2 linked regions of the Lonchura striata genome follow. The protein of the gene in region 1 interacts with the protein of each later gene in a pairwise test. Links are inferred from orthologs where the notes say so. Each region holds a gene or a part of one and is shown in the gene's direction. Other genes may lie near its edges.

Region 1 (15,817 bases):
GAAATTGGTAACGGGGGCAGGGGGAGCAGATCCAGTTAAAAAATGTAGTTGTATATGGTTGATGTGTGTACTGTTAAATATTTAATTTGGATTAATGGAATACTGAGTGTTATGAGCCTTCCCATGTTAAAATGAGGACTGATATATTTCAGAAGTACTTTGTCTTCTTTAACTGTGTTGGTGTGCTGTTGTTAACTCAGAGCTGTACTGCTGGAAAGTCTGTTTGTAGAATACTTCATCTGAGAAGTCACAACTAAAGACAGCATAAGCTTTTCCACAGTAGACCTTTTATGGTGATATATTCATATGTTCTGTGAACAGTTGTTGGATCCATCTTTTTAAGATGTTCTTTGCCATAGGTAAGGGGCTATAACAAATGTTGAAATATTCAGAATAATTGCACTTACCTATTCCGTTTTCTTATTGTATTTCCTATGCATACTGCCTTATCTGTATGTATTGTGCTTCACTGGAGGCGTGAAAAGTAAATATCAGGTTCTTAATTTACAATGTGTTAATGAGTTTTTTAAATAATTCTGTAATACTAAATATTTTCCAGTGATCTCTGTCTACTAAGAGAGGGTGATGATGGGTAAGCCCAGGTGAATTTAGTGAAAAAGTTAATATTGGTTTCTTTACTTTCTCTTTTAATTTCTGAATTATTTCAATAATTTTAAATACATATCTTCCTTCAAGAATTTTGTAGAGGCTAACCTATGTTAGTAAGCCAGCTTTTAGGTGATTTGTAACAGCTCTGATACTGCCTTTGACTCGTACAGTTCATCCAATGTCTTTGTAACTTATTTTGTGCCTTTTCTTCCCCTTACACAAAATGTCTCAATAAAAACAAGTTCTTTTGCAACACTGCAAACCTATTTTATTGTACTGATTTTTTTTTACTTGCCTGACTGTTTTGTTTTGTTTTCTGGAGGGACAAGAAGCTCTCAGAATAGAATAGATATTTCTAATGGACTCTGCAGAAGAAAATTGACAAGGTGGAAAGCAGGTCATTTTGGAAAGGCAGTGCTACAAAGCGCCTGGGAAACTGGGACTGTCAGTACTAATCAATATATTCCACCATATCTATCACAAATCATTTCTAACAAAAACTGGCACCAGTGGAATGTGAGAATCAATTTACTACTGGCTTCAGTTGTGCTGATTGATGTTGAAAGACTGGAAACACTTTGGGGGGTTTAGCATAGTGAAATGTCTGTGGTGGTGTTACTAACATGTACTGGGGGAGTTCCCATAAGCTCCAGTTGTCCCTTAAACACCCCTTCTTAAAGTGGATGCAAATGCACAAGGCCATAGTCCCTGTCCTCAGTGCTCCTGCCAAAACATTTCGTCAGGGAATGGCAAAATTTGAGCATTTGTCTTCATTACCTGGCAATGAGGTGATAAATAGCTTGACTGCATTTCCTGTCCCCTGTCCAGTGGCAAAGAAAATATTGTCAGAATCTGGAAAAAGTGACTGTAGGGGAATAGGGATCAGTGCTCTGTTCTAAGCTGCCGTTTCACTGTTTCCTCTGCCAACCCTTGCTTTGTTAGAGAGCAGTTCATGGAGTCCCTGGGTAGCAGAAACTGAGTAACCCTGTCCTCCTGTGAATGCTGTTCTTCCCTCCTGCACCAAACTGTTTCTCTCGTACCAGGTGGCTGGTAGCATTATTCACCTCATTTTCCATTTGAAGCACATCTGCTCGTTTCCCTCCCTCCATGAAAACCCAAGGAGCAGAGAGATGGCTTGCTCCTTCATGCAGGAGCCTGGCCAAGCAACTTGCTCTGCATATTCCCTGTGGTTTTATTCCATGATTGTTTCTCCTCCCCCACTCTGGTTTTCAGTGCCCTTAATCTGCATTTAACTAGTTCTAGCCCTGGATATCTGTCCCGTGGCCTGTCACCGCCTGGAGCAGATACAGCACAAACGATTGACCCTCTCCCTTTGGCAGTTTGGTTTTGGTTGCACAAAACAGCCAATAAAGGGGAAAGGGCTGGGCAGCTGATTATGGGAATTAGCTTGATGCTGTATAGTTTTATGGGTCTGAGATAAAGGAGGAAATGTTTGCTTGAGAATGAAATTGCTTTCTCTCTTTATTTCTCCTGCTACCTGCTTTTCAGATGACAAATTTTCAGAAGTTATGGACTAAAAGAATCCATATGTATTAGCCAGACATAGCTTGGGCTGGAGGCTGTTAGCTCATCTTCCAGTGACTGAAGCTGGAGTGTGTAGCTATTCAGGTCATTATGTGATCTGTCTAGAAACTCTGAAAAGACTTGACTGAAGCCTCTGTAGAGATTCTGACAAGGCTTGTTCTCACTAGTTGGCTGATTATCTTGGTCTGCTTTGTGGTACATATATCATACTTCTGATAAAAACCAAATTATTTCTCACTTCTGCTGGTGCTCTCATTGTACAGTAATTGTTCCCACATGGCAATTGTTTCCCTCTGGGCCCATGCATTGCAGAGTCCCAGTGACTCTCCTCCCCTGCTTTCTTCCCATACAAAGCATGTAGCTGTCTGGGCCTTCCCCTGTGTTTTTCTTGAGACACTTCTACAGGTATATTGGCAAAATCTTCCTTTAATCCCTACTGCTTCTTCAACTTCTTCTTTCCATCCTCTCCACAGTGCCACGTTAGCCCTGGGACACAACACCGTGTCCAAGTTGACATATCCTAAGGATCACCTGGGAAGTCTGGGATCTTTGACCTTTGTGTGTAGTAGGGTGGCAAGCTGTGGAGTTTGATCAGACAGCTTTGATAGTGGATTGGCACTGCTGCTAACCAAGATCATACAGAAACACATCTGCTTTTCATGTGGTTCTGACAGAATGTGATTATCAGCTGTCCTCACTCTGTTGGGGGCTTTTTGTGGGTTTTGTTTGTTTTGGGTGGGAGGGGATGGGTTTTTTTGCTTCATTATTGTTGGGGTTTTTATGAGGTTTTCTTTGTTTAGTTTAGCTTTTTTTTTTAAATCTCGCTCTCTTTCCACACAAGTATTTATTCCAGCACTCTAAAATAGCTCCTGAGGGCCAGGCTTTTTTGGGCCTGGAGGCCCTTCTCAGTTTCCTTGCTCAAGCAGGCCTGTTTGCTCTGCAGTAATTGTATTTTGATAAAGAAAAGGCAATAGATCTTAGGGGTGTGTACCTGTCATTGGCCTATGATATATGAGACCTAGTTTCTAGCTCTGGCTCCACTGAACTCTTGTACATTTTTTATTAGTCAGTGACTGAATGAAGCACATAAACAGGGTTGCCAGTCTGAGTCTTCTTTCTCCCAAGTGAGTTTGTGTTGGAGTGACTGTTCTCACTTAGCACTGGTAATTTACTCAATGTACTTCAAACTGCTGTGGACTGAAGCAATAAGTTCTGAATCGGGTAAATTTGGACACAGCAGCAAAGTGTAAAAATAATACAAACTAACATTGTGCTCTGAGAGCAGTCACGAAAAAAATACCAGCTCCTGGAAATGCAGTGAATCGAGTCTCATTCAGCCCCTCTTGTTGACAGAGCATCATTGCAAGCATGCTTCTTGGTTTGGCTCTTTTAAATCTTGGACTTGGTTTCTCTGTCCCAAGTTACTGTGCCCCTAAATTTAAAATGCTTTTTTTGACACCTGAAAATAAGCAGCAAACCTGTGCTGACATCAAAAGTGAGGCAGCTTTTTCTCACCTGAAAAGACTTCCAGTGCTAAAAGTTTTCCCAGTTGCACTGTGCTCTGCCAAACATGTTTCTTCCAGATGCTGTTTTTCTAATCATGTGTTTAAATCAGTGGTATCAAGTATTTCCTTTTCAGCATGCAAGCTATTTACCTAGGCATATAATAAAGATGCTGGAAGGCTGTCATTTTTGTGGATGTTGGCTGCAGGTAGGTTTTCAAGATGGTGGGACATCCTGATTGAAACAGTAAAACAGTAGTTGTAGTTTAGTGATGGATAAAACATAGAGGAAAATTATCCTTAGAAATGGTCTAGTGGAATATTTTATGTTTAAATTATGATGCATTGAAATTACATTCTTTCAGTGAACTTTCAGAGGATAGTACAAGGATTCAGAACTCAAATTGCCAGTTTTCCTGTCCCACATCTCAGTACACTCTCCTGGAAGCCTCAGAGCTGATGCAGCCAGACTCCCAGCTTCCTGCCTCTCCTGCCGTCTTCTGAGCTAACCATTTTAAACTTGGAAATTTCCAGACCCTGAACACATCACCACACTGTGTCCCAGCGATGTTGGCAATATTAGAAGCACTGCTGTGTGATTTATATTTGCTGCCCAGTGGCTTGATGCTTAATAGCAGCTGCAAAATGGACTGGATTCTGATGAATTTCCTAGTTGAGGCTGATCAGTAGTGGGTAGCAGCATTAGAATCTCAGCATTTTTCAGAATTTCCCACATGCTCAGTTGGTGATCACTCTCTTTGGAAATACTACACTGCAGCCTGAAAACATTCAGGTTGTAAATAATTTGGGGTTTCAAATCTCTTCCCAGATTAAGAGAACTCATTTCTACTGTGTTTTTCTGACGTGTCTGGTATGACCACAAATGGAAAAAAGATATCAGGTTTTATAAATGACTGGACCTGATCCAATCCTGTGCTTAGTTTGGAAAGGATGTAAACCTTTAACTTGCATGATATGAAGTGCAGGTCCAAGGCTAATGTGAGAATGTGTGGCAATGAGAACAAGCAGCAGAAGCATTCGGAGCATTTTTGAGCCTGACAAGTATTGATTGGTAATGGGAGGGAATGAGTGGAGAAGCATTTCAATTTGGCACCCATATGTGATTCTGGTGCTGTCACAGTGAATTAGCAGGACTTTCTTTTCCCTCTAGTCCATCCCATGCTTTTGTCATTGACGTATCCCCTTTGCTCATATCAACTTGTTTAAAGACAAAGTGGAAAAAACCCAAATAAATTCCCAGAACTTTTGCCCCCAAAAAGCCTGATTATGTTATGCTGCTATCCTCTGAATGGAGGCTGAACAGTACTAACGACTGTCACAGCATGGATGTTATAGGGGATTCAAGCTACAATTACTCATTTTGCACAGTCACTTAATCCACTAATGGGGAGAAATGGGACAACAGTTTAAGAAGGCAAGAGAACTGTCAGAGATTATTAAATCTGTTGGGATCATTTGGTTTAGTGGTCTGTCTTGACCCAAGTACATGGTTCAGCTAATGCAACAGACTTAATGCCTCTGGTAATTAGAGCAAGAAGAGATGGGTCATCATTAGCAACTAGAAATTCAGGGTTGTATTTCATCTGGAAGGCAGCATTTTCAACAGGGCTTATTTGTTGCCACTGCAGATCATCTGTGAGTCACAAGTGGTACATTGGTCTGACTCATTTGTGTGATTTAGCAGAGGCTTTTTAATACATGCTCACTGTTCCGTATGAATAGTTTTTCTAAATAGTTGCCCAACAGAAAAAGACACAATATTGGACAACCCTGTGCAGTTAAGACTGCTGCTCTTATTTACAAGATGTTGGTGATTTCTTTATTGTTGTGCAATTCACAGTTCATATTACTTTTGATTGTAGGTTTGAAATGTCTTTGTCATATCTGTGAAACTGAAGAGTGAAGAAAGGAAAGCCAAGCAAGCATAGAAAGCATCAGTAATTGGCATCTTCACAACATACAAGAGCCAATCTAATACCATTCAAGGCATATATTCACAGAATACTTTCACAAGCATTTCACAGATCCAAAATCATATTCAGTCCTGCATATTGCCAACAGCATGAATGAAAATTATATACCACAGATTCAGTGTTTTTGCAGATACTAGGAAATTTCTAAATCCTCTTCAGAGTACTGCTATGTAAATGAAGATGCAGGTACAAAGGAAATTATCCACAATCTGAACTTCATTATAAGGTACTATAAAATGGGAACTGAAATAATACAAATGGGGTGATGTAATATAGCTGAGTCATTTCATATGATCTTATGCAGATCAGCAGACAGGGAACTGTGATTTGAGAAGACCAAAGTATTTGAAGTGTGGCTTGAAAATGCTTGAGAGAAACTGTATAAATCAATGGATGCTCATCAAGCAGAATTTGGGTGTCTGTGGTTGGCTAATTAGATATGTGATGCTAAAAACCTCATCAGAGACACCATCAAAGAGGGAAGGAAGGTTGCAGGGCTTCAGCAAGAACTGTCTGGAGAAACTTGTCTCTCAAAAATATGCCCAGACCCTAGTGAGGGCCTAAGGCACTTCTAACAATCACTAGAAAAGAAAGAGGATTCAGAGGTGTCAAAAAGATAGCCATTCTCAGTGTGGATGGGAATCTCCTTAGAAACAAGTATACTTAGGAGTTTAATTTGCCAATTTAATCAAGCTCAAAAGCTCTCAGTAGTGCTCATGTCCATGATATCTGATGGATTGTGAGCTAACTAGAACTGAAGAGTGGTTTTGTCTTCACATGGTTGCCTGGCTTTAGCAGAGTGGTTTTTATCTCCATGAAGCTGTTGTGAGCTTTTTCACAAAAGAATGGGTCATCTGGTCCCACCTCTCTGCTCAAGCAGGGTCATCCCAGAGCACATGGCACAGGATTGCATACAGACAACTGCATACAGTTCTGGAATATTTCCAGTGAGGGAGATTCCACAAACTCTCTGGGCAACCTGTTCCAGTGCTTGATCAGCCTCACATTTAAGAAGTTCTTTCTCATATTCAGGTGGAACTTCCTGTGCATCTGTTTCTTCCCATTGTCTCTTGTCCTGATGCTTGAAACCACTGAGAAGAACCTGGCTTCATCCTCTTGATGACCTCTTTCTTTCCTTCTGTGCTCCTTGAAGAGCGAGGAAAAAGGAATAGCCATTTTTCACTCCCTCTTGCTGGTGTGCCTGGGGAGTTAAGTTGTTGTAGGCTCAGGGGAAATATTTTCTTATGAGATTGTATTTATCAACTGTTGGAGCTTGGATCCATTTCCAATTTTCTCCACCTTTATCTTACTTTATACAAGCAGAAGGTGCCTGAGAAGGACCCATCTGATGGAGGTTTCTCTGCAGTATCACTGCATCAGCTCAGTAGACCTCACTGGAGAAGACTGGATTCTTCCCACTTTGTGTCTGCATCCTCTTTTATCTATGCAGATGTTCTGATTTCTGCTCTGTCCTTTCTCTTTACTCTTTCCTTCTGATGCAGGCTTTTCTCACAGTAACATTCCCTCTTCACACATGGCCTCTGCCTCTACTTTTCTGCTGCATTCTGTGCTATCTGCTCCTCATGTGACAAACACAAGTTCTTGTGAGGTCAAGACTGTCTGCTGCCTTTGATACCACTCTAATCTGTATTTTGCTGGTGGTGTAAAGGTCTTTATCAGTTGTAGTATTTACTGTAGCCGATTAGTAGCATAATATGTGCTACTTACAAGATGGAAATAATGGATGGATTATAATATTAAGGATTATGAACATAAGGTGTGTTATTATATAAAAGACAAATGACCAAAACCACTTCATCTCTCTGCCAGCACTATGTCTCTGGACAGCTGTCACGAGGAGAGACCTTACAGGTGCAAGAAAGAGAGACCCTTAATCTCTCCTTGCTTCATAATACATGTCTGAGGGTCTGAGTATTAAAGTAATGTCGGGTGGTGTCAAGAGTGTTAAGGAAGTTGTCTGCTATATGTGCAGCTGACTGACTGAGGGAGCACCAGGGACTTAATGTTTTAGGGGCATGCTTTTAATGCTCTCTTGTACATTCTGCTTGGATATAATCCCATTCAACCAATCCCTACAAATTCTGTTCCAACCTGTTATTTCACTTGCCTTCTTTCAGACCCTGCCTTTTATCTGGCTTTCCTAGCAGAGCTCACATAAACTGCTGTCCCCTCAGAGGAAAGAGAGCCAGTGAATCCTGAAGTGAGCAAAAATATGGTATGAGTCCCTAGACATTGGGGAATCGAGAAAATCTTTTTCAGTGCCCAACTCTAGTGGAAGCTGGTTTGGGAAGTAAATACCTACACATCTTTGTGAAGGAATCTTCAAGTCAGTAAGAAGACAGTGGCAGCTGTCTGTCAGAGAAAGGTTTGCTTTGTAGGTGCTAGGGAAGCAGATGTCTTGCAGGTATTTGTGCTCCAATTAATTACTTAAATTAATGTATTTCATATTTGACGTAATGAAGGACGTAATGAAGGATAACTAGCAACAACAGTACCTCTCCTGAGGTAGCACCCAGTGCCCACCCATGTGCTGCCTTTTGCCAGCTGCTGCAGAGGCAGTAAATCTTACCCAAAAGTGGAGTGTGCCTTCCTTAATAAGGAAGAAATGCTTAGCAGCATGGGGTCTCATGTCTATACTCTGTCTCTCCCTTCTATGTGCTGATGTACCCTTCTTTCTAAAAGCCACCAAGCTTCATTGGATCAATGAGGCCTGATCAATTGTTTTTGCCTCTGAATCATCCATATGGGGTTGTTAGCTGAGCTGCTGGCAGAAAACGAGAGGCAGCTTTCTGTCTGTTTACTGTAAAGAAAGAGAAGCAGGCTACAGGAGGGGACAAGCTGCACAATATTTACTGTCAATACAGCCAGAGAGAGAGGGGAGATATAAGGAGAGGGGAGAAGAGGGGAGCAGGGGTTGCAGACTGCAACCCCAGTGAATGATATGAGTGTAAAAATACCCATATGTTTTCAGATGGAAAGAGAATGGATTAGTCAACAAGGAATAACTTGTTGAGAGCATTTAAGAAAGGGTGTAGTGAGGCAGGGGCGTACTAGTGGCATGCAGATTAATAATGCTGTGCATGTATGTACTGAAGCTGCACTGCAATCTGAAAAGCACTTCCAGATCTGCCCTGAGACAGAGCAGTTGCTGGGATTTTTTTGTGTATGCCTGCATGCAAGATCCACCATTTAAAAGTAATAAGATTAATAATAACAATTGAAGGTAGAGAATAATATTTGGAGCTAGTTTTCTGAATGAGCTGGAAGTCACCATTGTAGCTCAGAGCAGAAAAAGAAAATTATTAAAAATAGGCATGCTTCCTTGCTTCTCTCTTCTCTTACTCACCCACAGCACAGAGTTGTTAGGTGAACTGAGCTTCACAGGGCAAGAAGGCTCTGAGCAGCTCTCTCTGAGTGTTCCTCTACTTCCAGAGGCAGGTGAACAAGTGAAGAGTGAATTCACACTTTAAAGAGCAGCGAAGACCATCTTGCCATGAAGCCGTTCACAGATGAAGATGTAGAAATCTACATCCAGAGCAAGGTAAGACTTTATCTGACCAGATTTTCTGTCTCCCACACTAGGTGTTGATTCTGAAGGGTGCCAAATTTGACACTTAGTTGCTCGCCTGCTGTCTTCATTTCTGAGACAAGATTGGGTGAAGTTTCATGAGAACTGTATTTCTAATGAGATTTCTAGGTTTCTGTTGTAGAATCTTATCTGCTGGTAGCCTAATTTTTCAAGGTGTTTGTCCTCTTCTTCTAGGTGTCCTGAATTTTTGTTCCTAATCTGGAATTCCAGATGTGAGACTAGCTGTAATTGACAGCATTTAAATCTAAGGAAATGTCCTTGCCTCTCTCCCTGTCTGGTGGTCTTGGCTTGACCAAAACAAGACCAACACCAGCCAGGTGTTGCCTCTAAAAAAGATTCATGTAGGAACTGCAGAGGCAGACCAATATTGTTAGAATTCAGTCATCAGTCTGTCACCTCAACTTAGGATACTTCTCTATATACCATGATTAAAATAACATGTCTCATTAGCATATGCAGACTGGAATCTCATTTTCTATTTTATAAGATATTCCAGCACTCAATTTTTCCCCCATTATGAAATGAAATAAAACAGAATAAAATCTTCTGTGAAACAATACTGTTTAATAAAAGTTCTAAGTGAGCCATAACATTTTTTAAAGCTGACATGTTTCATGGCAGTACTTAGCTAGATCCTGTTTTATTGTCTGCTTTCCCCAACAAAATGCAAGATACCAAAGTGACAAATAATTTCAAAATGAGAAAGTGTAAGGCTTTATCTTCTGTAAAGGATCACATATTCTAGTACAATGAAGGGGCTGGTAAGAAAGGTTTGTTTTCTCTGTGGAAATGTTTTGGTGGCAAGTAGGAAAGTTCTCCCAGAAATATACCTTCTTCAGGCATGCAGTGTTGTGCACAGGAAAATAATTCCATAAGAATCTGTTCAGTGAGCTATAACAGAGAACACTTCTCTGAAGATTTAAAAAGCAGAGCTACAAAGGAGGGAACAGAGGGAAGCCATGCACAGGAAAATGCTCATATGACAGCCATAAGTACAAGGAACAGAAGCAGGCTCTAGTTAAGTGAGACTCATAGTTGCCAATATTTTAGATTATACTAGAAGTCTGTTTTCTAGCAGCCCTCCAGCTCTGATGGATTCTTAGTTTCTGCCTGCTCCTGAGCCTCTTGTCCAACTTCAGGCAGTTCAGCTTGTCAAATGCTGCCTGTTTTTGGAAATAGGTCAACCACCTGGTGCAATGAATCTCTATAATACCAGAGATTTCATCCTTAAGCTGCTCATCAAAGGAAAAATTTGAATGTGTATGGTATGGATGAGGCTGGGTAAATAAGGGAAACAGTTTCTAATAAATCTCAGTCCTGCTTCCTTCCCCCTTAATAAAATCATAATTGACCTTGTTATTCAAGTTTTGTGCATTTATTTTAGCACAATTCCCTGAGTTAAGACCTAGTAAGGGGAATGCCAGCGAGTCACAGAAGTGACTGTCCAGCAAATACCATACAGTGTCTTTCTTCCAATGTGTCTGTGCTGGTACTAGAAGTATCTGAGATAAATGCCTTGGCTCTTCAGACTCACCTTCTGTTTTCTGATTTTTTTACCCTCCCTTCTGTAGGAAGGTTATATTTTCCAACAGGATGATTAGGGAGCTAATTATAGTTAGTTAATTATAGTGAGCACCCTCTGTCAGTCACATGCCCATTGTTTTTTATCCCTGCTCCAGTGATGGGGAGAACACATGGAAAGAGGTGTTTAGTGGTACTCCCTCAACTGGTTTTTTTTTTTTTTTAGTGTATATTATAAAGAATTCATGACAACTGCTGTAGCCTAGTCAGTAGGTGATGAAGGCAGAATTAAATGAGGCCAGGCTGTGTTGAATAGATTTTCCCTGGATACTGGAAGTGGCAAAAAATGTTTCCAGCAGGTGCCCCTTAGAGAGAGCAGAGCATGAGGAATGCATAAAGAGGGCACTCTAAGTCTCTGTTTGAGCTGACCCACTGTGTATACTTTTTATACTTTTCAGTTTTAAAAAAGTCTTTTTTTGCATAAAAGCTCTTAGACATGGACAACTTTCTCTGCCACACACCATTCACTTGTTGGAGAAACCATTAGGTATCTTGTCAAGCTTATTGGACTATTCTAAGGAGTTGTTCTGGATGAACAAAAATAAGGTGGAGAAAATAGATACAGTATAGATACAGATGGAGAAGTGCCATAAATGAAAGCTGAGATGAGGAGGTGAAAATGAACATGGGCTAAAATCTTTCAGTGTTTTTTGGGTTTTTTTTAAGTACATGTAAGTAGCTAAAACTGCTCTTAAATAAAATGGTGAATTGGAATGAGGAGGAGGGTGAATTACTAGGGAAATTAAAGGGCATTATATAAACATGAAGGACTACATGGTGTTAAGATAGTAAAGAAACAGAATGTCAAGGGTGGATGAGAGCTCAGTCAAGGGAATATGGTGCTGTTGCCTGACATATTTCCCACTTTCAAAAGCTATTCAGGCTTAGTAGAAGTACTGTTAACTTTGTTGTCTGAGGGAGGAAGGAATTCAAACTCTGCTCATGTTCAAGTTCAGTGTTAGTCAATTGCTGTTTATGGGCTAATGGATATGAGGCAGGCGCTAATCCACTTTAGTCCATTGAATGGTCCCTTTTTATGAAGAAGTGGATGTATTTGTCCTCTTCCAGGCCCTAGGGACACATTTCAACACACTTGTGTGTTTTTGGCTGATAGTAAAAGAGACTAGGGAGTTGTTTAGATGCTGAAGAAGATGCTGAGTAAACAGGACACAGGAAATTTAGAAAGCCATAGGCTGGTTTGGGTTGGAAGGCACTTTTAAAGATCATATAGTGCAGTTTCCCTGCCGTGGACTGTGACACCTTCCACTGGACAAGGGCTCAAAGCCCTGTCCAGCCTTGCCTTGAACACTTCCAGGGATGGGGTATCCACAGTTTCTCTGAGCAACCTGTGCCAGGGCTTCACCACCCTCACAGTACAGAATTTTTAACTTATGATTTTGCTTCCTTTTGGTCTTTGATAATAACAAAATATTGTAGCAATTATATTTGACTGTGGCAATTATGCTTTATCATTCACTTTAGCCGAGTGATGAACTCTGTTTCTGATTTTTTTTCTTGCCTGCAAGCAATAACATTTAGTAGAATATGGTGAGGAAAAAGAAGAATCAAGAAGAAAGCAAAAGCTGCAACTAAATTAGATGAAGCATAGGATCCAAAAATGAACAGTAAACAGTCTTAATATTTCACTCTCCATAAGTAATTCTGCTTGTATAAGTAATGACAAATATGTTCTTGAACTTTGTTAACAGCTGAATCTCCTCACTTTGGTAAATGTGTAAGGATATTTGGGAAATATTAAATGTCCTTTACTAACATGGTTCCTTCATGTTCCTCTTGTTGAATGTCCTTGTTCAGATTGTGACAGTCCCCTTGTGCTCCCTTAACTTTTAGTCATAAGTGAGGTTCAGGTTCATCTTATATTTTTCTGAGTTGTCCACTCATCACCTCAGTTGTCCCAAGACTCAGACATTTCACTGAAATAATTTTCAATAATTCATTATGCAACTACTTCTTGAATTGAAAAACTACCCTTCAAGCCACACAAACACCTAGTTCCCAATGGGGCCAGTTTTGGAAATATGCTTTCACACTGTCTAGGAGTAGAGTTTCATCTGTACTTCAGCCATAAAGAAAATATGGATACTTTCAGTGTAAAAGGTAGGCATCTAACTGATGCCACATACATCTGCCACCTGACTAATGGACAAATCTCGAAGTCTTGATGTCCTGTCAGTTCTTGGAATGGAACATATTCTGACTTTGAGAATGGCTACCATATGCAGGGGAGTAACTGGTATTCTGCATCAAATGGATAAAGACTTGAGACTGTAGAATTAGTTGGTAATAAATTTATCTGTGTAGTGAACTCCCTTCCTTCCATCCAATGGTGTTGGCATGGAAATATCAATTAATACTCAATAGTCTTGAATATTGACCCTTTGGTGTTCTCAGCTCTGTCTCATGGTAAATTGATTGCAATAGACTGGGGAACAATTTTTATTCCCAGTGCAGCACAAGCGCAAATGTTTCAGGATGCTTTAAGCTGATTTGTGTGCTTCCCACTGGAGACTAAGACTGCAATTACATCTAACATGAAGTGTCTTTTCTGGAACTGACAGGTGGAACGGCGGCATTACCTGGTTTCCAAAGCAGTGGAGGAGGTGCAGAAAATCATCCAGCAGCTGACTGCAGAAATCAGCTACAAGGCCGTGCGATTCCAGGCTATCTCCAACTCTGGCATTCACAATGAGAACATCAAGGTATGAAGAAAAACCTTAATGCACTCTCTGGCAGCCTGTAGGCAACCAGAAAGTGATTTCTCCATTATGTAAGTGTTTGTATGGCAGGTACCTCACCCAAACACCACAGACGATGTGCTGACACCACTGTGGAGTTCTACTGACTGGGTCATTGGCACTCACTCATGGACATCTCACAGCCAGAGGAGCATCCAAGAGAGATGGATAAATCAAGCAGAGCCTCTTCTTGCAGCTGCTGTGTTTACAAACAGCATCTATTGCCAGAGCTGTCAATCCACAAACAGAAGCCAAAACTCTTTGGGAGTCAGAAAGAAAAACTTATGCAGCAGTAACTTAAGAAAAAATGCTCATGCCTTCATGAGCTATGACCCATATTTTTCACAGGTAAAAAAGCTGTCAACTCACTAAAAAGGATTAAAGAAGAATTAAAAGTCCTTCTTCTGCTATGAACATTAGAAAGTTTCTTCTGAAAAATATGTTTTTTTCTTTGTCATGAATTGGAATTTCTTTTTCATTAGGAAAAAAATAATTCTTATTAGTGGGAGAATTGAAATGCCTCCCTGCTTTAGACCTTCAGACGTAAAAATAGTAATGTCCTTCCCAGCTGTGACAGAAGAAGGCTGCTTATTTCTTGTGACTCCATTACACAAAAGTAACTAGTAAAGACACAAGAAACAATCACAGCAATGGTAACTTCAGATGAAAACAATTTTTTCATCTGAACTAGTTGAAATAATAATGTCAAGCATTATACTGAACCACAGCCATTTACAGATCAAAACACAGCAAATACATAAAAGCACGAGGCAACTTTTGCAGCTCTCTGGGACTGAAAGGGAAGAAGTCTTTGTATGAAGCTGCTGGAATGGTATGGAGGTGGAGGCAAAATAAAATCACCCAGTCTGAAATGTGGCCATTACCCTGGGGACAAAGACATTCAGATTCATAGCTTTTCTGGATTTCTTGTATCCCAGAGCATGTGGTCTTGTCAGTAAGTATGGCCACAGTGATAGTGCCACATCCTGGTCCATGAGTTCCTTAGTGCCAGACTCTGCCAGGCACCTCTTGTGTGGAACAAACCTGCTTGGCTAATGAGGTCTGACAGGACCAGGGTCAGGGTAAAATTGTTGCTCCGGAAAGCAAAGTAGAACAAGACCACCAAGGCAATCTATTATGAGCAGTAACTTGATGTTATAGTATGCAGATCTGAACAAATTCTGCTTGAAAGAAATCCTCAAAATCTATTTCCTTAAAAGTGGCAGATCTGTTGTTCGTGCTTAACTGAACCCAGTGTTACAAATCTGTGGAAGTAACACTAGGAGGAACTGACTAACTGTCCTATTTGTGTGGGGCATGAAAGAATGGGTTGATGAGAAATTATTTGGTTTGGGCTGTCTACTTCGAAAGATTGAAAACTTTAATACTGTTGCTGACATACTTTAACATAGAGGAGACTTGTGTCCAGGGAAAGTCAATCTATTCATTTTTCCATGTTCAATTTCGCAACATATTTTTTTATGTCAGTTAACTCTACAGGATTTTTCAGAACTTTCAGCTTCTGGCTAAAAGGAATCAATTTAACATGGTGAGAGATCTAAATTTATTGAGAAGCCTCAAGCTCCCTTCTAAATATGAAGGGCTGAGTGGAGACTAGTTAAGAAAAGTCTTCAGGTATACAGTGTTTTCCTGTGATCCATGTAACAAAAAGTTATGCTTTATTGAAAACCTGAATTAAAATTCATATGAACAAAACAGATTATTTAATTTTTAAAAGTTCTAACTGTTTGGGTTTTTTTGTGGCCCACCATTTTTGGAGCTGTCAACTGTGCAGGGCTGATGAAAATTCAGTAAAGTTACAATGAAGAGGGGCAGACTAATCACTGGTACTGCACTGTCCAGTGGCATTGCCAAGTGTTTAATCAAGGTGGGGGAAATGGGGGGGGATTTTCCTTCAACAAACTCCAAGCATCCGGGGAAGCTTGCAGCTTTGCTCTGTGAATGAATGACCTTTGCTGTGAATGAATGATGCTTTCTCTCTGTTCTGTCCACTTGTCTTCCTTTCTGCTTCTCTCAGGATCAGCCAGCTTTACTGGCCAAGTGGTCAGCTATGCTTCGGAGGAAGCGCCCATTCCACCCATCCATCCAGGTACAAAGCCTTCCTGGTGCCTGACAATCCCTGTGCTTGCTTCCTCCTCACACACCCTCTTCTCCAAACAACTTCACCCACCACACTGATCCTCCCATGACCGATTTGTC
Region 2 (14,925 bases), on another chromosome or scaffold:
TTTGGCAAAAGATAAATTACTTAATATTAAATTATCCTGACAAATCTAGCTAGCACAGAGCAGATTTTTATCCCTCTCATCTGAAAAGCTATTAGTGTGTTTCTCAGAGTAGAGGTGACTAGTTTATACTGGCAATGTAGTAATAAAATTCTCTCCTTAACCCTCTCATTATGAAGAGTAAAAATATAGATGTTTGCACCAGAGTTATGATGTTGGGACTGATTACTGACCATGAAGTCATTTGAACAGAGGCACAACAGTGAGTAGCATTACACTTTAATACTACAGTATTCCTGACATGAGTAGCTGAACATTATTGTGGGCATGAATAGAGACTTCTAGAAGTGTTTGTGCTCCATCTGCAGTGAAAAGAGGACTGCTAAATGACTTGGCACAGGCAACACTAGCAGCAAGGAAGAGGTGCGAAAGAGAAGGGAAAAAAGCTTGCAGCCTCATATATAATTTAGGCTTTCATTCAGTTTTGCTAGTACTTCACAGTTGGTTTGTCATCACTAACTCAGTATCTGGATCAGATACCAAAATCTGTAGTAACAGTGAGAAATTTGGCTTTCTGTTGGTCTCACTTGTAGCCAGTCTCATACCCTTCAAAAACTGAGCAGGCAAACTGGCACTCTGGAGTGAGAAGTCCAAATAGTTCCTTTTTGTGTGATTAATAACAAGAGGCAGCTGTTATGCTCTGCAGCTGATGGAGATCTAGACAGAAATTTTGTGGCGATTTGTGTATTTGCACATGCAAATATCAACAGACATTTAAAATAATAATACAGTGGCAAATAAACAGTACAGGCTAGTCAGACTCAAAGAAATTCTAGCAAAGGAATTTAATGTATTTGTGCTGGCAAAGAGAGAAAAGTAGCCATTGCCACCTGAGGAACAACATTCTCCTACATGTCTCCTTACACACTTGCCCCGAGGTGCCACTTAAAAAGAAGGGCCTGGTAAATCTAAAGGTTTCAAACCAGATGATTTCTAAGAAGAATCTCCATATGGAAAGAAACCATTGTAATAGCTTCTGGGAAAAAGAAAAACCCATACAAACTGAGGAGTGCTTTGAGACCATGGTCTTGGTGGAATTTTCATGGCTCACCCTCCTGTTTTCAAAACACAGATGCATTCCTGCTTACTTGCTGCACTTTTCTAATGCACAGCAGGAAAACAACTTTTTCAGAGCTCGTACTGAAGAAACACCAGATTTTGTGATTTACTGATGTTTGGGAAGCCAACTAAGCAAAGAAAGACACCACAAGTTTCACCATCATGCAGAGAGAACCCTCTAAAGCACATCTACATCTCCCTACTTTGGCTTGTCAGTGGTGATTTTGGAATTGAGTTGAACCTCAGCTATTGACCCAAAGTACAGCATGTCCCTTTGAGAGCACAACGTTCCTAGTCATGCACTGTGTTTTTATTGCAGTAAATGCTATTCCTGATGGTTTAGGACATGATGGAATATATTAGGAAAATTATTTTAAAATTTCAAGGATTATGTAGGGGGAATAAGGTATGCCCCTTTAAACCACTCTATTTGAGTGACTAAAAAACCCTGTATTTTTCATAATAAAAGCTCTAAACCCCCTTCTATTCTCATGTGTGTGTGTGTGTGTGTGACATGAAAGTACAAGTTAAATACAGATACAAATTCTGACAATATATTTACAAATACCTTTGTAAAGTTTCAATTGAAAGACCTGTTTCACATGGCAAACTGAAACTATTACAGCCTCAGTGCTCTCTTTCAGGACAAATGGGCCCCCAGAAGGAGAAAGCACAGGAAAATAATAGGGGTATAATTGGGAACAGGATATAATGTTGAACATTGCTTATCTGACACAACTTTTGTTCCATTCCATAGGGATGGAAGCTGTTCTGGATGTGAGGAATGAATCAGACTCAAGAGGCTGCTGAGAATGAAAAAAGCTTTGTGAAAAACTTCACAATCCTAAATGTTACTTTATCATAGACTAGAAAAGATGGTACTTTTTGCAGAAAAAAATCCTATATACTAGATAAAAGTCAGATGTATTGCCTATGTCAATCCAAAAACATGTAAAAATTAAAAATTTGTCTTCATACCAAAACTGTGGCTAGTCTGGACATTGAGTTGCATTTTGTTCTCATTTAATAATCTAATAATTAATATTAAAAATTGACTTTTTTTGTTGTTTTAATGAGATTAAATTTCATTTGGCTCCAATTCCAATAATAAAGCTATTAAGATCATTTTAACTCATCAGGCTTCCAGAAGAATGTCAGGTAATTCATATGGCATATGTATTAAAACATGTCATACCTGATTTGTTCTTAATTAGAGTCTCTACATAATAGCATTGCAATATGAATAGTTAAATGCATCTGTCCATGGCTATAAATGACTACAGCAGTTTAGGGATCACTACTCCAGCTACATTTTAACAGATAATACACCTATAGACTTTCTCATTAAATATGAGTTAGCTGAAGAAACCTGACAGTTTAATTAACCCAGTGATGAGTTTGCTTCCTTTGCTTCCTGTTTCCCCTCACAAAACTATCTCTTTCACTTTTTTTTTTCATATTCCCCACAGTTACACAAGTGGAAACTGTGTAACTAGAACTAGAAAAGTTCTGCATTTGCAAGAAAAATTCCTGTAAAGAGAGCTTTTTAATTGTCAGCAATTTAAGTGTTCCAAATTCATACCTGCACATCATCCAGTCTTTCTGTGTTCCTTTTGATTCTTTACTAAAACCAGAACTTAAAAATTATGCAACAACTGTAGCACAATGAGAGGAAGTCGGAATACTGCGACTTCCAAAAATACATGTAATAATTAATACTATAAGTATTGTAGTATTATTAGTAGTAATTGGTAAAGTTTAACAATTGCTGATCAAACAGGTGTAAAATTCACATGTTCTTACTGTGTGATGGGCCATGGAGATATGGGCACACTGTCTGCCCTGCTATCACATGATAAAAAACCCACACAGGCAGTTTTCTTGGTCTTAGCCATCTGCTTTTGATTGGCCTATGTGACTGTTTCTCTTCCTGTAACAAGCACTGTCATCTTTAATTCTGGGGCATGCTACGGGCAGAGAAGGGCCCTGTAGGCAGTGTGTAGGGCAAGCCACACACTTCTTTGGCATTGCCTGGCCATTGTTAGCCTAAGATTTGGCAGAGACCAGGGTGAAGAGCAAGAAATATGTCAGCAGGGCTGGTGCAGAAGTGTAGATGGAGCGGATGAAGTAGGTTTACACAGGAGTACTTGGAAAGAGCACAGTGGGAAGTCTCCTTGGACGTGAGCACAACAGGCATTGGACACTACAGCACTACACCCCACAGGAAAGTCAGATCTCACCTGCATGACAAGCTAACAAATCCACCATGATTGTCATCACTGTCGTGCCAGTGGGATCCTTCTGCAATGGGGATGTAGCATTGCAAAGAGGGTTACCTACAACTATTTTGGCATCATTAGCATCAGATGTTTTTTGGATTTTTTTTCTGGGATCTTCAGCCCAAGCCTCAGATACTGAACTCTGCTGTCTTCAGAGACAAGCTTCATTTACCACTTTGAATCTTTCCTGCATTAATCTATTTTTGCCTTTGCGACTCAGCAAGGCTGTCAGGGTTTATTCACAATCACTAAGAAAATATTTCAGATATTTGGAAACTTTATGCCACTGAAAAAAGTGTATTTAATAGGCTTTATAAAACGTGTAAGCCAAGTTATCATCAAAGCCAAAGAGTTTAGGTTGACGCTGTTCTTGTGACCTGTCCATACTGGTAGGCGGATGGTGAGCTACCCATGCTCTGAGTGTGCATGTGCTGGTTGAGACAAGCTCCTCAGGGAGTAATGACAAAATGCATGCAGTGTTATCTCTTGTACAGCAAGAACAGCACATCCATATTTACTCTTCTGCATTAACAGCAAGTTCAGAAAAGAACATTCTGGCTTTGGAGCAGCTCAGGTGTCTGTGCTAAGGTATCTGTTCACCCTACAGCACTAAGGATCTAGTTATCTCCCAGCAGCAGGCATTCCTAAGGAGAAGGGTAGAAAGAAGCTGTCCCTTAGAAGCAAATTATTCACTCTGTCTTAGGGTACCAATTCCTATAGGCAATAGGCAAATCTCGCTCCTTTTTACTCTGCTGGCAGCCCTTAGATCACCTCAAAGAATAGCCACAAGTCAATTTCAGTGACTGTCTCCAGCAGCTGGAGGGAAGAAGAAAATTAGGTTAGCAATCCCTTTGGCCTAGTTAGGCAATTTTCAATACTGTATTTCAGAACATTAAATTAAAAAAAAAAAATTAAAGAGTGAGGAAAAAGGAAACAATGCACCAACAAAAACACAAAAAACACCAAACCCAATCCTTAAATGCCACCTAGTGGTAAAAGCTATTTATTTTAACACCCCTGCTTTACAGGGAAGCACGACTAGACAAGGACCACTGGTCCTTGTCTAGTCATGGTTAGACCTGTTTGGATTTTCTGAGTTCACTTTACATTCTTACCCTTGAATGTCTCAAGGTCAGAAGTTCTAGGAATATTGGAAATATGTTCATAGAGCTCAAGCTCTGCAGAGTTGTGTGCTATGATGTCTCACTTTCAAATACCTCAACACAGAAGCAATATCCCCAGCTGCAAACTGGGGAGCCTGTCCTTGCAATAGCACAATGGGTAGGTCTACTACATGCAGTTGGTGTCTATGGAAACTTAGAAGCCTTAAGATGCTGTACAGGGAGACAGCCGCCCATGGTGCAGGCACAAAAGGAATCTCACATGCAGAAACTTTAAATCCTATTAATACTGTTGTCTTAAAACTGGTTCAAAGTTGCTACAGGTAGATTATAGCAAGTAGTTCACTGATTCTATTTGAAATCTCTGTGCATGGCAAAACAAGCTGTCAACACTGGCTGGAACTGTCTATATAGCATGAATTCCAGCTCAAATTACTTTTTGCTGGTACCTGCAGCCTTTCACAAGCACATCCTGGTCCTGCTTGACAAAACCCCTGTGCCATATCCTCAGTACCTATCAGAACAGAGGTCACTAACCAGTTGTCTTCTGTTTGGATACATAATGTTCTGGGCTGCTTTTCTGCAGAAATACTCCTCATGTCTCTGAGAAGATGCTACTAGGACCCCTGGTCAGCAATCAGCTGGTACCACAGACAAGAGCAAAGCCAAGGCAGTGATCAGCCCAAGCTCTGAGGAACTCCATGAAGTTCTCTGGCATAACACATTCTGCTCTCCCGTAGTTTTGACTCCACATCACAGCAAAGGAGCCCTTAATCCACTCACAGGCAATCTGACTTCTTTAAAGCAGCACCATGGCAAGAGGTAGACCATGTGACTCCAGTGGATGTACTAAAGAATTTGTTCTCTGAGAAGTGCCACTCTAGAAAATGTTCTCACCTTAAAAAAAGCTTAGGACCACTCCAGAGAGCTTAGATCAAGTTTGGAAGCATCTCTTTTTTAATTAATGTGCATCCATAAGAAAAGGAGAGTGCTGACAGGGAAGAAGATCTCTGGGTTCCCTGCTGAAAATATCTGCAGCTCGATCTACAGATTTTCTTGATTCAACTGGTTTTCTCTTTCATTTCCCTGTAGCTGATTTTTCTTTATGATATATGTGTAGGTTGTGATGTGTGCCGTAGTGCTACTATTACTTTAAATAGGATGTTCGGGCACTGAACTTTGTATTTGTCATTGCTTCATCAAATGTGGTATGCTAATGAAAGAACCATTAAGTTCCAGGAAGATTTTTGAGGATTTTGCTGTGAGAATTCATGTCTCAAGGTGTGCTACCATCACTTGAAGAACTTTTTCAGAATCTCCATGTCATTGCAAGGCTAAAAACACGTATCTGCCAAGCCTTTTATCACCACTTCCTAAGAAACCTTGAACCAGAAAAGAACAGCCAGAGATTTACCCCAAAACCTGAAGTGCAGTGGGGCTGGCATCCACATGGAGAAAGAGAAGACAAGACAAGAATATGGAACTATGAGCACCAAGTTTACAAATTTCAAGGAATTTGTAATCACTATGTTTAAGGCCATTTTTGCAATAGAAAACACATGTAATCATATTCACAGAACCCTTTACCATCTCAGAGGTGAGGCAATGCCTTGAAGATGTGATAGCAACAATACTTTCAAGCACTCGTCCACCCACCTCTTTCCACTCCCCTTAGGAGAAGCTTGCAAAAAGGAATAGATGAGGACCACATCCTCCACTGGGGTAGGGGAATCAGGAAAAAGAGAGAGTAGTCCTGTAGCCAGCCATGCAAGCCAGGCTGGCCAATGTTCCTGCAACTCTTGGTTGTTCCTGCATAGCATCAGTATAAGGAAAGAACAGGCAGCAACAGAGCTCTGTGACTTCACCTTTCCTTCACCTCCAGGCCCTGACAGAGTTGGGGTCCTGAATTTTGCCTGTGCAGGCAGCATGCACTGTGGCATCTTCTTGCATGCAGGTCTGGGGTCGTGACAGCTTTTTGGTGAAAAAAGCTCTTCTGGAGATAATGCCCTTGGCCAGACAGTCTGTGCTCCAGCAGCCTTTCTGTCCCTGCTTCCTACAACCACTTCATCTTCATTCCACAGGCCTCTGTGCTTTGATGGCAAATGCCCCTGTGACCAAAATCTCACCTTCTTTTAATACACAAGGTGCCAGAGCTAAGCATCTGTTTCCTGTCTAGCTGGATTGGGATGCCATCTAAACTTCCAAATGTAACTACTCAATCCCAGAGGATGAAGGAGGAGTTCAGATGGGGTGGTGGCAACAACAGTTCCTCAGTCCATGTCAAGGGCCCCTAAGAGCATGGGTAGGAAAGTGGCACTGACAGACTGGTGGCAGGGATGCATGTCACCTCCACCCTCTCCATTTTTGTCTGCTGCAAACCTTTAGGAATAGGCACTGTTTGGAGAGCTGGCATCACTCTTCATCTTCTTTTCACTGCCTAAACTGCAACATCCATTACTTCTACAATTGAGTATTTAACTTACAGATCAAAGGCCAGTCTTTTAAAAAGAAGGTAGTGCCATTCCCTAAACTTCAGGCAATTTAACACAGGGCAGTGAATGAAATCTGCTATTTCAGGAAGTATCTCCCTCCAGCTCAGGTCTGCTTACTTATACACATTAAGTGAAACTATCCTGATGCAAAAGAAAGCCACTACCTAAAATAAAACTTCTTGATAGAGACAATACACTAATTCTCAACTGATGAGACATACATTTCCAATGAGAAATTACAGAGGAGAAAAACTGAGGTCTGAAACTGTGTTAGTTCTTTTAGTATATCTTAGGACCTCCAGTCCACAGCTGAGCTTTACACCCTTCCACAAAATGCTTTAAAGACAAAACACATGTATTTTTTCCCTATTTTCTTTGAGTTAGGATATGGACAGAAGATTTACTTCTTGTCTGTTCATGTAGCCCATCTTCTAGAGATCAGTCATTTGATTGTGGTGGTTTCCAGTCAGAACAGTACTTAATGCACAGCACATGACTGCAAGTCCTCACAGAGAACAGTAGCATTCTTGTTAAAATAGCACTGCCAGGTACCATGGCTTTCAAATTCAGGTGTCTTTGGACTATATTTTTTGGAAATATAGTATCTTAAAAACATATGCCTGTAAATGAAATTAAGCCGTTACTTAAGGAACGGAGGTGAAACCTGAAGTGTAAAAGTGGTGCATCATTCAGGACATATCTGAAAGCAGATGTAGATGTTCAGGTATACAACACACTCACTATTGTCAGATCTGAAAGCTATTAGGCTGTGATCTAATAGCCTACTATGATATGATATACGTCTCATTTCTGCAGTAAGACACAAAAGCAACAAAGTGTATCACACAATTTATTAAAAACTGAGAGGCGCTGTTGTCATTGGAGACAAAGCATACTTTAAATAAAAAGCCTGCGAGGTTAAGTGTGGAAAATTATGATATTGAGATGGGGCTCAGAGGGAAAGCCCGAGAACCTTTTGTAACTGCTTTGTAGAAATCTGAGGCACAAAAGTTTATCCAGGGCTGCAGCGCTGCAGGTCCCCGCAGTGACTCTGAATGATTCTAACTAACTCTAATTTTCTTTTAGAATCTGTCCCAATGGCTGCAGCTGCAACAACCCCAGGCGGCAATTCCAGCCGGCGTGGTTCGCCGCACTGCTGACCGAGAAACCTCAAGCAGCATCCCCCTCCCCGCTCTAAAATAACACACACACACACAAAATCCTCGAAACAAAAATGTGCGCATGTAAGTACCCGCTAGAATTACTTTCCATTCTGTTGTATGATGCAGCTGGAAGCCTGAGACCCACTGCCAGCAGCCAACTGCGCGGCACCGCCAAGCCAGGTTAGACGACGGCGGAAGGTCCGAGCATTGCCCCGCCTTCGCGGGGTGCTGCTCATGCTCATCTCGGCCCCGACAGTTACGCTGTCGCGGCAGCAGCAACGCCCGGCCCCGTTCCTCGCTCCGGCTCCCGGCCCCGTTCCCCGGCCCCGTTCCCCGCTCCCGTTCCCGGCCCCGTTCCCCGGCCCCGCTCCCGGCCCCGTTCCCCGCTCCCCGGCCCCGTTCCCCGCTCCCGGCCCCGCTCCCCGTTCCCGGCCCCGCTCCCGGCCCCGTTCCCCGCTCCCCGGCCCCGTTCCCCGCTCCCCGGCCCCGTTCCCCGCTCCCGGCCCCGCTCCCCGCTCCCGGCCCCGCTCCCCGCTCCCGGCCCCGCTCCCCGTTCCCCGCTCCCGGCCCCGCTCCCCGTTCCCCGCTCCCCGGCCCCGTTCCCCGCTCCCGGCCCCGTTCCCCGCTCCCGGCCCCGTTCCCCGCTCCCGGCCCCGTTCCCCGCTCCCCGCTCCCCGGCCCCGCTCCCCGCTCCCCGCTCCCCGTTCCCCGTTCCCCGGCCCCGTTCCCCGCTCCCCGCTCCCCGTTCCCCGCTCCCCGCTCCCCGGCCCCGCTCCCCGTTCCCCGCTCCCGGCCCCGTTCCCCGCTCCCCGCTCCCCGTTCCCCGCTCCCCGCTCCCCGGCCCCGCTCCCCGTTCCCCGCTCCCGGCCCCGTTCCCCGCTCCCGGCCCCGCTCCCGGCCCCGCCCTTTCCTCGCGCGCACGCGCACGCGCACTGCCGCGCGCGCCGCTTCCGGCTGCTCGCCCCGCGGGACGGAGGCCCGCGCGGGACAGCTCTCGGTGCGCTGCGGCGTTGCCCGGCGGGCGCCACGGCCGGGGCCGTCGGGCGCGGGCGCTGCGGGGCGGGCGGAGGGCGGGCGCTGAGCTGCGGCGCGGGGGCGGGCCGCCGGCCATGGCCTCCCCGCCGGGCGCCGAGAGCCGGGCGGACCCGGGCGAGCAGCAGCAGCAGCAGGAGGAGGAGGCGGAGGCGGCGGCGTTGCGGGCAGAGCTGGGCGCGTGCCGCGCGCAGCTGGAGCGGGCGCGGCGGCGGCTGCGGCGCACGCAGCGCCTGTTCCGCCGGGAGCGGGAGAGCGGCGAGGCGCTCAGGAGGCAGGTAGGGCTCCGAGCCTTCCGCCCCCCGGCCGGGTGCCGCCCGGGCCGCTCCCCGCCCGTCCGCTCCTCCCGTCCCGCACGGCCCCTCAGCCCCCCGAGCCCGCCGGGCTCTCCTGGCCTGCGAGCGGCCAGAGGAGGATTGAGGTTTCCAGTCGGAGCATCGTGGTGAGGATGGTAACGCCTTCTCTACCACTGGGTTAGATTTGCATTCTGAAGGGAACATTACCTGTAGCAGAGGGAAAGAAGTTTATCGTACGAAGTGTGGGGTAAAGGAAGAGTGGCGAAACTTCTCCGTGAGTGCCTATGGCAAGAGAGGCGTTTAGGGAGCCCTCATGGCGGGGCACAGCTTCTTGTGAGGGGAGGCAGGCGGGCAGCACTGACCGCTGGCAGAACGCGAGGGAGCGGCCTCAGGTTGTGCCAGGGGCATTTCAGGTTGGATATTAGGAAAAGGTTCTCCAGACGGAGTACTTGGGCAATGGAAGTTTCCGCAGAGAAGTGGTCACAGCACCAGCCTGACAGACCTCAAGAAGCATTTGGACGATGCTCTCAGGCAAATGGTGTGACTCTTGAAGTGTGCTGTGGAGGGCCAAGAATTGGACTTGGTGATCCTGATGGGTTCTTTCTAGTTCAGAATATTCTGTGCTTTGTAAATGTTGCAGTCGTCACTGCAGAACAGCGACCATTGCTTGAAATCCAACTTTACAGGGTGGACATTTAGGAATAACCTCAATTAAGTTTCTCTGCTCCTTTGTGAGCAGAAATTATGTGTTTCTTTATGCCAACCATTCAAGTACAAAATTATCTTCCGACAAACAAATCACTTGAAACATCTATGATGCCATTATGTTTTGTTTAAATTATGGAATGCAAAATAGGCTGATTCTCTTTTCTGAGATGGCAGACCACTAAAATGCAGTATTGTGTTTTTAACATTCAATTTTTCCTTTCAGGTAGAAGAACTCACTGAAGAAATCCATAATAGAAAGGAGAAAGATACGTCTAGTGTAGAAGTACAGACAGAGGACTGTGCTGCATGGTCACAAGCAGGTAGAGAGAGTGGTGATGTTTAAATAGGGATATAGAACACTATCTTAGTTTGAAAATGTTGTAATATAGAATATATTTCAGGTCTACATCCTTTGCTGAATTAAATTCAGTAACCTGACATTATCTTTCAGACGTTTCCTGTTTACTCCAGGTATTAATTCAGGATTAAATGTAGCATGGACTAGCAGAATTCATTCCATTGTAATTTGTTCCATAGTAATCTCATGTTGCAAACATACAGCTGTACCAAGTCGTGAAGTATATGAAAACATAAAGACATAATTTGTTCAGTAGGATAATAAATTCAGAGTAGAGGCACTACTTAATATTTGATTTTCATTCGACTACTTACTTGCATAAACTTCCAGTTTAAGATTTAGTATCCTTAAATTGCAATATACCTTCCTAATTTATGCAACTTCAACTTTTCTTTCTCTTCCCGTTCTCCCCTGGCAGATTATTACTACTATGAAAATTATTACAGTCACACTGATACTCAAGATTGTGCATCTGAACTACCAGTGCAGCACAGTCATGGGAGTGAAGGCACTGAGCATAATTCCACAGAGGAATTGGATGCAGATGTTAATATTCCGCTGAGGAAGGATAGCACCAAAGCTATTGAAGGTGGAGAAGAGGAAAATTTCATCCAGAATTCACAGGTTTTTGGACTGTTTGGAGTTTCACCAGTTTTGAAATCAGTACTCTTAATATTCCATCTAAAAGATGTACTTGTGGTCCTGAGAGCTTTTTGTGAAATATTTTTTTCTGATGGTCTAGTGCTGCTAATACCCTTGTACTTCAAAATTAGTTCTTTTTGTAGTGTGTTCCAAGTGGAACACCCTCTTAGATTTGTGTCTTGGAATTTGAGAGTTTTTGTAAAAAGACATATATATCCTGCATAGCCTGGAAGCAGGATTATTTTTATCAGCAGAGTATGTCCAATATATCCATTCTGATTTTCACAAATCGTGCTTCTTATTTTTTGTTTCATTAACATAAGGAAGCAAGATACAAGGAAAAGAACATTGGTGGTGGGGTTTGTTTATTTTGTGGTGGGTTGGTTTTCTTCCCTGCACTCCAGCCTTCTCTTAGGTCGCTCAGTTAACTGAGTTTGTGCTTTAGCATCTAGCAACTGAAATAGAACAGAGGGCAGAAATCTGTCTTAGGAATGCTCTGAAAGATGTTTCTTGTGCGTGTATTTTATGTGAGTCACTTTCGAGTAAAGCTGGGGAAAAACAAAAGACATGGGCTGAAGTCTTGGTCCGGTTGAAATCAGTAGGAGTTTACTAGTGAACCACAGCCAGATTTTTGCCTTCTGAAACAGTCCAAGTTCATAGACCACTTACGTTCCTTACCTTCTGTTATCAGGAGACAGAAGAAACTTCAGTACCAGAAGGTTCTCTGGCAGAGAGTTTGAGAGCTGCTGCAGAGGCTGCTGTTTCACAGACTGGATTTATATATGATGAAAATACAGGATTGTATTACGACCATAGCACTGGATTCTACTACAATTCAGTAAGGATCATTTCCAAAACCCTTGGAATTTTTTGTCTATTGCAAAAGTTTTGTTAGTAAAAGCTGATGAGCAAAGAACTAAGATCCAAGCTGATCTTGCGTTTTGAAAAACAGGTTACTGAAAATGAATAGTGTTTAATTAGTTTTTTAATCATTTCAGGCAAAGATAGCAGGCTAGGACACACATTTAGATTTTAATTCTGTTATTTTGATGTCTCATAGGTCTCTAAGTTACTTGGCATTGTACAGATGTTATGCTAGAAAGGTGATCTGTAACTCTCTCAAACCTAAAGGCTTGAGCTTAAAGATGTCTTGTTTAGAAAAAGACATTTTTCTGAAGTAAGTCAGTTGCTTCTCCACAGTGAAAAGGGTATTGGGAGAAAATATGCAAAATGTTTTGTGTTTTTATTTGAGTAGTGCTAGCAACTAGTTTGATTCTACAGGTAAAGAAAACACTTCTTTTAGAAGTGTTAGAAGAAGATTAGATGATGGGTCAGAATTCTTAATAGTTACTTTTTGCTATGCATTTTCATGTAGCTTTTACAAAGGTTTTCTTTTTGTCCTATGAGGTGTGTTTGTATATGTGTACAGATCTGTGGAAAGATATGTATACACTGTACTGCACTGAGAACAGAGTTTGTTTGCACTGTTATATTCAACTCAACTGTAAAAAATGCATGAGGTACACAACTCTTCTCAGGATGCTTCTGGACTTATTTTTTGAGATCTTAAAGGATACCATTGGTTTTGACACTGTTCATATAGTTATACATAAATGTTTGGGGCTATAGATTACAGTTTATAGACTTTTCTTGGTACATAAGTGTTCTGAATCGCAGGAAATGTTCTTGCATTGTGTTTGCTGGCAAAGTTCTGATGATGAGGCCAGGGCTGCAGAGGAAGCCTCTCTGAGAAGAGGGCCAGGGCTGCCTGGACATGGCTGGTTCCACTGCAGGGCACAGCACAGCCATTAGAAGAGCTGGTGGTGCTTATCTGAAACCAGTGTAAGAAGGGGCATAACTCTGCACAGTGGAGTCTGTACGGGGGAGTGAGTGTGTAAAATAACCCTGTGAACATCAGGGGCAAAGAAGAACAGGAGGAGGTTCTCCTAGCACCAGAGCAGGCAATTTCCTGAATCCATAGAGCAGACCACGTGGAACCTACTCATACTACAGTCCATGGAGGATCCCACACAGAAGTAGCTCCTTATGATGCCTTTTTTGGCTACCTAAAAACAGAGACCAGACAAAATTGAGGTAATAAAAATTAGTTATATTTATTGAAGGGCCTTCAGGTATATTTAGGGCAGACAAAGCCTCCCCAGGGGATACATCCAAAAAATGGACGACAGATCACAGGTTTTTATACTTAGATAAGTTTGGTCCATTTGCATTTTGGGGTTTAATCTTCCAATTACAGTTTTCAGGTAATGAAGTAATTTACCCCAAATTTGCTGCCCACAACTCACTTTTGTTTACATTTCTCAGGGCCACCACAGTTCTTTCATTTTATCAAAATTAAAATGTGGTTCTTTATTAATCAGGTGTTTCTTTGAACAGTATATTTATTGAAGTGATGATAACATTGTTCTTCATTTCTTATAAAGGAAAACCAACTGTATTACGACCCAGCAACTGGAATTTATTACTACTGTGATGTGGAAAGCGGCCGATACCAGTTTCATTCACGAGTGGATCTGCAGTCTTACCAGGCCTCTGGTACTAAACACACCAAGGATAAAAAGGGAAAAAAGAAGAGAAAAGAAGCAGAGTGGATTGCTGCAGATGAGTATAAGGTAACCTCAAAATTGACGGACAGAAAATACAAAATCTGTTGGGTTTTTGTCCATGCTGCAATTTACAGGTTGTGGGGCTTGGTTTTATGCAGAGAATGAATGCTTTATTTTGTAAACTATTTAAACATACTTAAACTAGATACAGCATGTGTAAAGTTGCTAACATGTAGTTAGTGTTCAAATAACTTTCTCATTGAGTGATTAAGGATGAAACTTTTAACTTGTATACTCTCAATTTTTCAATTTTTTTGTATTACTACCCAGCTCTAGAGGAGTCTACAACTGAGTGTCAGTGAAGTTTTTTGAAGAGCAGGCACACTAGAATAAATTCAGTGTTGTGTGGGCTGGATTTACATCAGAATTTCAGTGGCAATGTCTTGGGTTTGGGATTTTGGCTTGTGATTTGGTGTTGGTTTCTTGTTTGGTTGGATTTTTTTTTTCAGATTCGCATTATGAACCAAAAAATGTAAATTTTGAAAATACACTCATACACAGTCCTTTCTCTGTGACTCCATTCCAGCGTGTAGTCCTTCGCCTTTTACTGTGTCCCTGCTATCATTTAGGATTGGTGGTTTTGAAATTTTATTTCTTTGCATATTATGCTCCCCTATTGATACATTCTTACTGTATTTTCGTTGTCGTTAGTGTGAGGATAAGCTGTACATCAGAATAAGTGCCCATTGTAATCAATATGTGTCAAAATTGTCCTGAGTGCTAAGAAAGCATACCCTGTCGTGTGCTGTCTTGGAAAACATTACTGACTCCTAAACACCAAGAAGTACTAACACAGCTGTTAAACCTCAGGAAGAATTTCCATTATGAACACTCTTACTGATGTTGAGTTCTATTCTCTCTATTTGTTTTATTATCTTAAGATAAAATTTAATATATTGAATTCTCTAATTTGAGTTCTCCTTGGTTTGCATCCTTCAGAGCTTTTGCTTTAACCATTACATAGTTTCATTATGTAGGCCTCAGACATGCAGATTGGTTAAAATCTGGAATAATTACATTACTGTCCAGATACCTGTACATAATAGTCATATAACATCAGTGCACAGTTAAAAAATTTAATCAGGAGTGGT

The links.
Region 2: the proteins of MAB21L3 (region 1) and AGGF1 interact in binary tests that used the Homo sapiens proteins (3 or more experiments, as listed by UniProt). The two-hybrid records come from large-scale screens. The link is inferred for Lonchura striata from reciprocal best matches to the Homo sapiens genes MAB21L3 and AGGF1.

Annotation. Positions count from the first base shown.
Region 1 is NC_134604.1:27,124,463-27,140,279, forward strand, and holds the start of MAB21L3 (protein mab-21-like 3), read left to right. Parts: upstream 1-9,111; 5' UTR 9,112-9,164; coding exon 9,165-9,212; intron 9,213-13,420; coding exon 13,421-13,561; intron 13,562-15,635; coding exon 15,636-15,707; intron 15,708-15,817.
Region 2 is NC_134642.1:13,290,118-13,305,042, reverse strand, and holds the start of AGGF1 (angiogenic factor with G patch and FHA domains 1), read left to right. Parts: upstream 1-9,248; 5' UTR 9,249-9,280; coding exon 9,281-9,481; intron 9,482-10,430; coding exon 10,431-10,527; intron 10,528-10,983; coding exon 10,984-11,189; intron 11,190-11,898; coding exon 11,899-12,045; intron 12,046-13,651; coding exon 13,652-13,840; intron 13,841-14,925. UniProt on the Homo sapiens protein: Promotes angiogenesis and the proliferation of endothelial cells. Able to bind to endothelial cells and promote cell proliferation, suggesting that it may act in an autocrine fashion.